Drosophila melanogaster: one gene and its partners. The protein of the gene in region 3 interacts with the protein of the main gene of each other region in a pairwise test. Each region holds a gene or a part of one and is shown on either strand. Other genes may lie near its edges. The genes, in order: CG42853, CG9825 and Acp65Aa.

Region 1 (3,316 bases), about 12 Mb from region 3:
ATCGAGGATCTCGGAGCAAGAAATGACCAGAGTATGGTGCACCTGAAAGTGCCAAAATTTGGCTACGAGGAAATGTTATGGAGATTGGCACACACAAGTCTTCGCGGGCATATTCATTTGGGCGACCACATTGCAAAAAGCTATGAGTGCCTTAGCATCGATCTGGAGCGTTTTCTGGAGGAAAATTATGTACCAAGGGTTTTCGTCAGCGGTTGCCCGACGGACTTTAATCACTATCAAAAGGTAGTTTCCTTGGATCTAAAGGAACTAAAGTGGACACCGACTCCGACCAGGATGCATCTTCGGCAGCTATGCAGCCTCTTGCGACCTCAACACATCCAGGGGATTGTTCAGTTTCATACGGATGGCATTGTGCCTCCCATTCCGTCATTCCTAAAGATCTTCAAGGCAAACTATTCACCGCAGAGTGGTGCAGTGGTCTCAAGGATTAGGAGTGAATTTCAAGCAGGACAGCCGAAGCAAGGACCCTATCACGCTTTCCGGTCCAGAAGGGCCTTTGAATTTGTGAACGATGGCGACGAAAGCAGTAGTTCGAATTAGGTTAAAGTATCTCCCTATTAGAATAAGCAAGTCGTGTAGCTGTTGTTCCGCACAGTGCCCCTAGGAGTTTTATTTATCCAAACGCTTCACAATATATAAAAATAAATTATTTGAATTGTCTTGAATTAATTTTTTTGATCAGTAAGTGTATCTTCGTCGGACCAGGAATCGGCAAGTCGCTCAAAAGCATCAATGTCTATTTCCTCCTTTACTTTAAAGGCTTTAAGATCATCAGCCGCATTCTGGGATTCCTTGGTAATATCACAGCCGAGTGAGAGATCCATCCCTTCTGGTTGCTTTTCAATTAGCTTTATGGTGTCCTCGTTGCACTCTTTTAAGGATTCCATGTCCAATGCATTCTGGGTTTCGGTCGAAGCGTTTACTTTGGTAATTTGATATTGTTTATTAAATTTAGGAAGTTGTACAATATTTGATGAACGTCTATTCATCTCACACATTTTGGGAATTGTGAAGAGTAGAAACAGCCCTGATATTTGAATGAATTTTGTTATTTTCTTTCATTATTTATTAATGATAGACTTACCTAATTGGCCAACAATTAGAAAGTTAATCTGCTTTCCAAGTTTGCTAATTATTAGGAGAAGGCCAAACCACTTGAATGATTTCGAAAAGCTCTTTACTAGTAATATCTCTCGTAGATTATTTAGAAACGCAACAACTTTGGTTGAAACTAGAACACCCAGTTGCTTAGATAACTCCTGGGAGATTCTTAGGTCTATGTCAAGATATTTCGGATAGCTGTTGTTCTGGATATGGGTATTAGTGTACTGTACCAAAAAACGGTACCCCATTGATATGACCATGATAATCAAAGCCCATACGCTCACCACGAACACAAGCGGTTCAGAAAGCAGATCATAAATTATGGTCTGTAGCATTACGAATACAAGCATCGACTTTATCCAGTTGCGCCACAGGATCAGCTCAGTTATTCCCTCCCAGATGCAGATGAGTTTAGCTTCGTTTACCTCCGCACCGGCTCCAGAAACTTGAACAGAGTTCGCGCTTGTGGCCATATTTTTTTTTTTTTTGAGTTTTTAAGACCTTTAGTACTGAGAAGATATACAAATTACAAAAACTTGGATACGATTGCAACGACAGTAAACTATTCGAATACTAGATTATATTTGTTTTCTATACCCATCACGCGTAGAGTACTAGATTTGTTGAAAGGTTTACCTTTCAGATGGATTCTTTATATTCTTGATCAGGATTGATGGGCTAGTCTATATGTATGTACAATATATACTTATGGCTGTGTCAGTCTGTCCGTCCGTATAAACGTCGAGAGTCTGTGAACTATTAAAGCTGAAAAGTTTAAATTAAGCATGCAGCTTGTTTCACATCCACACATTATTAAATTATAATGTGGAAATTATTGAAATTACCACCACTAACTGAGTAGCTGCCAGTTGAGGAGCTCGTATATAAATATATATATTTATATACATCTATATGCTATATAATACGAGATGCATGTCAAGTACCACCGATACAAGAAAGATCCCAACATTTAACCGCCAAAAGCACCTGTTGCCAATTCGTGTCATCTGTTTAAAAATATCCTTTTACATGAATTATGCAAATTATTCATAAATTGCTTTGTCTTTGCTTGGGGTTGTAAATGGGTTTTCGCAGATACATAATTTGATTGAGTTTGAGCTATCCTTTCTATCGCAAGATATTTAACTTCATATTCTATTTCTGTAATCGGTGATAATAAATTCATTTTAGCTTCTGCTTTTGTACCTATTTCTCTAACCATAGGCAATTTATGTTTTTGAAAATTAAGAATTACTGGTCGTATATTTTCTACTTGATCCCTTACTTGAACGATTGTTAAGTCAAACAGAACGCTTTTCAAGATCTCTTTGTCACAGCTTCGTTCGCGTTTGATCCGCACCGTCAACAAGGTCTTTTATTCCAATTCTTGGAGCATCCTGGGCAAATAATTTTGGCACGAGGTGTGACCAACGCCCATTGAGGGTGTGGTTAATGACACTCAGCCTTCTGTCTGCCAAGTCAATCGCTTGCCAATTGATTTGTCAAAGGCATTACGCTAATATTTTGGGCAAATACGGGAAAAAGTCACTGGCGTCAAAATGACATCGAGTGGTTTAACTTTCCACCCTCAAGATTCAGAAAATAAATGACTTTTGGGGAGGGTAGAGAAAAGAATACTAAAATCGGAATAATTTAAATCAATCGTTCAAAAGCTTTTGATCGCTCGCAATTGCTAAAGGGTCCACTTAATAACAGTAGTATATGTTATATATAAAAAACTTTAAAAGAAAATAGTAGATTCAACAAAATATGATGAATATAAAATGAAAACCTTTCAGTTTGTCGTAAAACAAATATTTCCAATATATTAATCCTGTTTAACAGTCCAACTATTCCCATTTGTAATAGACATTTGTTCATCACCCATTTGAGATTACTTGAGAAATCCTCGTAATTTCTGCCGTCTTCATTTAGAATTACTGGAATTAATATGCAAACAGCAAAATCGATGTATTTGCACATGTATGAATGCAGTTTAATTAAACCAAATTCCCCCATAATGCTCACATCACAAGCTGTACAGGATATTAGAATGTTTGACAAGTTGTCAATGCATCAAGATGCAGAGGACAAGGCAGAAAATTGGCCAGAAAATCTTATCGTTCATTTTGAATGTAAATTAAAACAAATACACATAAAATTACTTAAAACTGCATTGAGTTTCTTTGGC
Region 2 (3,760 bases), on a different chromosome or scaffold from region 3:
GGAAAGGATAACGCCTGCATAGGTGGTCTATTGGCAAGTTCCGGGTTCTGTGTCTGCAGATAGTCCTCGGCATCCCAGGGCTGAGTTTCGGCCGTGCCAAACACCAAGTAAATGCAATTGCCCACAAAGAAGATTACGGAGGCAATGATGAACACGATCTGCCATTGGGAGCGATCAGACTGAAAGGAAAGGATACAATAAGCAATTAAAAATCTTTACTTCCTACCAACTTTTGCAAGCACTCACATTTTCCTTAACAATCCATCCAACAACTAAAGGAGTGACTATGGGCACGAAATTCGCCGCTGTATTCACAATTCCCATTAGAATGCTAGCGTGATTTTTCGATAGATCAATTGTGTTTAAAACACTGCCAATGGTTTGAGCACTATTCACGCCCACACTGATGGTCATCAGAGCAATCGCGAAGTTCTTTTGTTCCTTGTCCAAAAAGCCAATGCCCACCAAAGTGGCAGCAGGAATCCAGAAGGCAATGGAGTTGTAGGTCTTTCTCAAAATCGTCAAGGACACCGAGTTCTTGCCCAAGAGCACATCGGCTACGACTAGGTAAATATACGACATGCACCACATGGCCAAGAATGGGAGTGCCGAGAAGAACGCATTGCTCTTCATGTCCATGTCGAGGACTCCGTTCATATAGGATGGGATCTCGGCCTGCAGAGTGCTCAGTCCCCAGTTCTCAGCGCATCGTACTATGAGCAGGGCCAGGAATGGTGCCGACGTCCAAATTGCCTTCCAGGGAATGGGTATAATGGTAGCGTGGTATGACTCATTGTGCTTTAGAGACGACTCAATATAGATCAGTTCGTTCTCTCCTATGAAACGAGATTCCGTAGGATGGTTGGCAGCGAAGACGAACCATAATGTACACCAGAAGAAGGCCACTCCAGCCGAGACATATGAGATTCCGGGCCATCCCAGGGAGCTCTTGGCTATCATTCCGCTCAGGAACATGGCACTCACATTGCCGCACTCGATTCCAGTGTGACTCAGAGCTCCCAACCGATTTCTTTCCTCGGGCGGTGACCATTTAGCCAGGTGCTGATGAATGCAGGGGAATACCACTCCCTGGGCCAATCCCATTAGAACTCGAATTCCACAGTAGGCCTGCCATTCTCCAAATCCGATGAACAGCGGCGTCAAAGCACTGCAGACACCAGATCCGAAGACACCCCAAAACATTACACTCTTGACTCCAAAGCGCTTGCAGAGATAACCTCCAAGGAATTGCGTTAGGATGTAGCCCCAAAAGAAACTGGAGAGAATGTACGACTTCTCTGCCTCCGTCCAATCGTATTCCTAGTAGAGAATCTAGTAAGCTAAGTGGTATTTTCTTGATAGGATCCCTATTCTTACCGGAAAGTTCGGGTTCGTGGTTTCCGCATTGGTCATTGCCACCACAGACACGCCCACATTTAGGCGGCCTATGAATACGGTAGTTATATTGAGGAAGATCAGTAGCGCCTGGACATGCCTCATTCCCAGAACGGGTCCTGCAATAACAAAACGAACTGGTATTATCACTGTTACTTCCTGTCTACAAACAGTTGGGTAAATAAGTCTGAATTGCTCTTGAGACTCGGTTATCGCGCCATTATTGTAGTAATTTATGACCACTCAATGCGTGTGCGAAAAGCCCAGAAATCAGACGGAGTGCAAGGTCTGAGCCATGAAGGGGTTTTCCACTGTGTCAAGTTCGTTGGGTGTCAATTCATTCACAAACTCTTATCCGAACCGAAGGATTTCCTTTCACGCACCTTTGTTTGTCTCGGCCGTCATTTTTGATTTGGTCAACAAAACACCTCCTGACTTCTTTTAAACGACCGATCGGAATCACTGTGGGAAGTTAAGTGAGTGAGACCACGAACATAGAGTGGATTTAAATCCAAATTGAATTAGACGATAAGCCAAATGTTGCTTATCTGATACGACACGTCAGGTGATAAGGTCATACAGCGGGCGAATTTAACCATTGAATTAAAAAGCGTCATTAAAAAATTGTTGTACTTTACAAACTAGTTATTATGTCATTAGTCAGAATATTGTAAATCAATCAATAAATCATTATTTTCATCCATTTCTACAATTCTAGTAAGGATTCTGGCACGATTCGGTAAAAGATAGATGCCACATAAGCAACATGGCCTAAAATGTTAGCGCCAAAAAGAATGCATTGCTTTTTCATGGCCATATCGAGAACCCTTTTTCGAATAGGTGGGCATTTCGGCCTTCAGGTTACTTAGTCAAGAAAGAAGCCAAGGTTTTGCACCTTTAATAGTTAATTTTAGATATCTTGACGAAAATATCCTACCTGCAGTTCCTTTTCTACTGTTAAACGAGGTTGTTTAGAACAGCATTGCCTGGTCGTGTGGCGTTCCAAAATCAATTGGTAATATCAAGAGTAGTTACTGCCATACCATTATTGGATTGATTTATGGCCGCACCTTTGGTAAATTTGACGACTTTTGATAAGCAAATAACGCTCAAACATTTTAATTCAAACAAATCGTTTTACTTATACGTTTAATAAACAAATGAAATGTACTGATGTAGATCTTAAATCTTATTAAATTTAATAATAATACTCTAAATTATTTTGATTGCTTTGTTGTTTTAAATAGTTTCTATGTTAACTGAAGACTTAAGTGCTATCGATAGAACTTCAATTCAAGGACTTCGTGGAAGGTCATCAATACCTTTACCAGCTTCATGGATAGCTGGAACTTTAGCTAGCTCTGGCACCTTTACTGTGAGGTAGTCTTCAGCATCCCAGGGTTGTGAAACAGCCGTTCCAAAGTATAGGTACACCGAGTTTCCGACAAAAAAAAGTACTGCCGCAATTATGAACACTATCTGCCACTCAGCACGGTTATCCTGAAACAATCAACAGAAAGTCTTCTTATTTATACTTATTTATCACTGCCCTGTTTATAAACACTAACAGTGCAAACTTACGTCTTCATGAACAATAACTCCAACAATCAAAGGGGTTACTATAGGCACTACAGTAACAGCCGTATTCAAGATTCCCATTAGAATACTCGCATGATTCGGGGATAGATCTATGGTGTTCAAGGAGCTTCCGATTGTTGCTCCACTGTTGACACCGACACTGATGGTCATCAAAGCAATTGCCAGGTTCTTCTGCTCCTGATCCAGGAATCCGATTCCAATCAAAGTGGCACAAGGAATCCAGAAGGCCAACGAGTTGAAGGTCTTCCGGAGGGCCGTTAAACTCAGCCTGTTTCCGGCGAGCAGAACATCGGCGATTATCAGGTACACATACGACATAATCCACATGGCCAGAAATGGTAATGCCGAAAAGAATGCATTGCTTTTCATGTCCATATCCAGAACTCCGTTCATATAAGTTGGGATTTGGGCCTGGAGGGTGCTCAGACCCCAGGTCGCGCAACAACGCGTCAGCGTAAGAGCAAGAAATGGTGCCGAGGTCCAAATCGCCATCCATGGTACGGGAATTACGGTCTTGTGATAGTCCTCATTGTGCTTCAGAGACGATTCGATATAGTGGAGTTCTTCCTGGGTTATGTAACGAGATTCCACTGCATTGTCAGCGGCAAAAACGAACCAAATGGCACACCAGGCGAAGGCTAATCCTGCGGAGACATATGATATTCCTGGCCAACCAATGGCACTTTTGGCTATCATTCCGCTCAAGAACATGGCACTTACATTGCCGCACTCCATCCCAGTGTGACTAAGAGCTCCCAACCGATTT
Region 3 (3,356 bases):
AGCACTCGAAGCCATCGATCACAGCCAGATTAATTATGCAAAGCCAGCATGATAAATGCAGCTCGATGCAGATGCCCTCGAAAAGCTGCGGAAAAGACCCAAATAATAAATATTATGCAGCCACGAATCAGATCCATTTTCAAGGGCCCCGAATGCCCTCAAGTTCAATTTGTAGGCGGACTGGGTAAATAAATCAGGCTGAAATTTCATGGAAACCACATTGTATATGAACTTGCTTAGTATTAAACTTAAGCGCTTAAGTTTGATGTTTCATGTGACATTTTATTTGTAAAGATTTCAATCATGCAAAAACCCATCGTTTTTTCTCTTCTTTAATATACTTGTCTTTCTCGTTCAATTAACATATTAACAACTTTTCCATTTGCGGTCTAATCAGAAAATTATAGTTACACATTTGACTAACAATAAGTAATTTTCACACTGTATTAATGTAATGCAATTTTGCTGAATAAACAATGACAACAGAAATTTGTTGAGTCTGCTTTTGCTTTTGATTGCAAAGACGCTTTGCTTATTTGATGCGTTCTTTACATGTTATATGGACAATATTATTTGATTGATAACATTCCTCGGATGTCACCAATTCCATGATTTTTAACGAGCAAGTTAAGAATGGCAAAATGCCAAATTGCAGCTGCCAAAAAATCAACCAAAATGATGTGATTTTCAACGACATTTGAGGAAATGCCAGTATCAGTGCACAACACCCTGTCGATGGGTCAGACATTAAGTCACAATTGGCACAATTCAATTCAAGTGGAGGAGGAGGCTGGGGCAGAACCGTGGTTGACCAGAGGCCGACCGATAACCAAAGTTAAAACCCGACTGACCGGCTTGAAAGATCCGCTGCTGGGGCTTCTTCATCGGCCTGCTAGCGGTCAACGAAGGTGGCATAAATTGGCAAGCACCGGCGACGGCGACTTAAAAACTAAATTAAAAAAAAAATGCTAAAAGTACAACAAAAAGCAAGAGTCAGAGATTTAAATTGCATGCGAGCCGTAGTTGTAGGTTATTCGATGTATTTTTTATATATATTTCCAACTGCTTTTGGCTCTTGTTACCGGGCAGGCACATCAATCGAGCGCTGTAAAGGCCGTTGCATATGCCAAAAGTCAACCTGCGGTTCCATCTCCATCCACAGCCTCATCCATCGTGCACTTTGGCCATCACACATGGCTCAGCTCGTGTTCTTCGTGTCCGCGGCTTGAACTTGCTGCCCTGCCAATTGGCGGCGACAGCACTTGAACTTAGTCTCTTTTGGGCCACCAATATGTCGTCGATTTCGGTTCGATCTGGGCCCATCTGACGAGCTGTTCTGGTTATTGTTTCCCATAGTTCTTGGCCCGGTATTTCCCCGTAGCTGCCCAATCAAACCGCAACCTTTTCCCCAATGCATCTGCTTGATTCATGAACTTTTTCGAGTTTTCTAAAGCTACCAGTCGGCACTGACAGAAAATGTCAGTACATCTTAAATGTGGTATTATATTCAAGTAATTGTTTTGTTTATTTCAATTAAGATTTAAGTACTTAATGAGTTGCACTAAAACTTCGAAAGGTGGTTTTAGTGTGGGTGTAAAACGAAAGATATTCGAATGATTAAGTGTTATAGGTTTAAATAAATATTTTTTATGTTCTAACTACATTAGTTTTAACATGCTTATTTTTATGTTTGGTTTCTTGTTAAAAATATGAAGACATATTGATTGTGGATAACTATTCTCACAGAATCGCCCTGAAACTTAGAATGCTTTTTCGAGTGTGGGTGAAGAGCAATAATACCTTTCGGATGAGTACACCGCTGCACAAAGCCGCTTTAAATGTTACTTGTCGCAGCGACTTTGGCGACTTTGGTGCAACGCTGGCAATTGAAAAACAGCACAAAAAAAACAAAAACAAAATGGAAATAGTGGAAAACATTTAGCCGGCGACCGCCAGAGCTGCTGAACTAGCGAGCTGCTTGGCTTCTTCCACAATTGTGCAAATTTATGACGTTTGCAAATGCAGCCGCGAGTGCAGTATAAAATGCAGTGGACGCCGATGCAACGCCACCATTAGACAACTGCCAGTTTGTCCAGCCGCATAGGAGAATCTGCAATTTCGAGAACCGCTCAACATGATGAAATTGGTAGGTGAACTTGGATAAACGAGGCGCACCATGCCCAACCAGGATACGCAAAAGGATACCTAATCTCTTACCGCCTTGCAGATGCTAGTCGTTGGCTCGATAGCCCTTCTCCTGGCCCTGGCCAGTGCCCGGCCGCAAAATGATGTGGAAGTTCTTGAGTACGAATCGGAGAACACCGGCCTCGGCGGCTACAAGTTCAGCTACAAACTGAGCGATGGCACCAGTCGAACAGAGGAGGGCGTGGTCAACAACGCGGGCACCGACAACGAATCCATATCCATTCGGGGATCCGTCACCTGGGTGGCTCCCGATGGCCAAACCTACACCATTAACTTTGTGGCCGACGAGAACGGTTTTCAGCCGGAGGGTGCCCATCTGCCCAAGTAGACCTCCGCTTTCGAGGAGATCCTGTAAATACCACCTTCCCGAATGAACCCACAATTCCAACCAACCAGCCATACAGTGAGGTGCTAAGGTCCTGTCCGGAGGAGCTGTCCCTTGTCCCGTGGCAGCCAATCGGTCAGTCAGTTAGTAAGTCGATCAGTCAGTCAAGTCAGTGTCGTGCATTGTTTTCTATTTTCCTTGTTACTCGCATTAAAGCCGAACTTTCGATTCTCGAAAAAAATATGTTTTCTTTGTGGAACCCATAAAGTAAGTCACCAGTTCTGGGAAGGGTCATTCAAAATATGAAACTGCACTAGATAACTTTCCTTTATAATTATAACGAAGTACCAGAGTTATTTTCTATTTTATCGTATTTAGCTATGAAAATTCACACTTTTATTTCTTTTGATTCAAAATGATCAATATACAAGATGTTCCATCTAAAAAATTTACGAAGGTACTAATCTTAAAAATATTTTTAAGGAACATAACAATTGGTTTTATTCTTTATTTAAACTGAGCTACGATAAAAGGTTATTCAGTATTATGGTTTCTGAGCCTATTTCGATTTAATGACTTGTTTTTCCAATTGATTTCTAGTTTTCAACTAGAAGACCTTTTTAATTACCATCATACACCGATTTATAGGTGGGGAATATCCTCGCCCTGGGGTTGGAATCCGTTCTCATCGGCCACGTAGCTGATGGCATGCGTCTGTCCGTCGTCTCCTACGAAGCTGAAGGATCCGGCCACCTGCAAGGCATCCTCCTCGGGACCAAGGCTCTTCAGGGAGCCGTGCTGCTCCTGCTTGGTGCCATCGCTTGTC

Evidence for each region.
Region 1: the proteins of Acp65Aa (region 3) and CG42853 interact in a two-hybrid assay, tested with the Drosophila melanogaster proteins (one large-scale study listed by BioGRID).
Region 2: the proteins of Acp65Aa (region 3) and CG9825 interact in a two-hybrid assay, tested with the Drosophila melanogaster proteins (one large-scale study listed by BioGRID).

The regions. Positions count from the first base shown.
Region 1 is NT_037436.4:18,120,330-18,123,645, forward strand, and holds CG42853 (uncharacterized protein), read right to left. Parts: upstream 1,661-3,316; 5' UTR 1,599-1,660; coding exon 1,106-1,598; intron 1,049-1,105; coding exon 687-1,048; 3' UTR 603-686; downstream 1-602. Other genes in the region: CG7341 (uncharacterized protein), read left to right, coding at 1-561.
Region 2 is NT_033778.4:22,835,476-22,839,235, reverse strand, and holds the start of CG9825 (uncharacterized protein), read right to left. Parts: upstream 1,876-3,760; 5' UTR 1,801-1,875; coding exon 1,779-1,800; intron 1,515-1,778; coding exon 1,378-1,514; intron 1,321-1,377; coding exon 247-1,320; intron 180-246; coding exon 1-179. Other genes in the region: CG12490 (uncharacterized protein), read right to left, coding at 2,689-2,895, 2,977-3,760.
Region 3 is NT_037436.4:6,151,458-6,154,813, reverse strand, and holds Acp65Aa (adult cuticle protein 65Aa), read left to right. Parts: upstream 1-2,068; 5' UTR 2,069-2,134; coding exon 2,135-2,146; intron 2,147-2,227; coding exon 2,228-2,533; 3' UTR 2,534-2,764; downstream 2,765-3,356. Other genes in the region: Lcp65Aa, read right to left, coding at 3,173-3,356.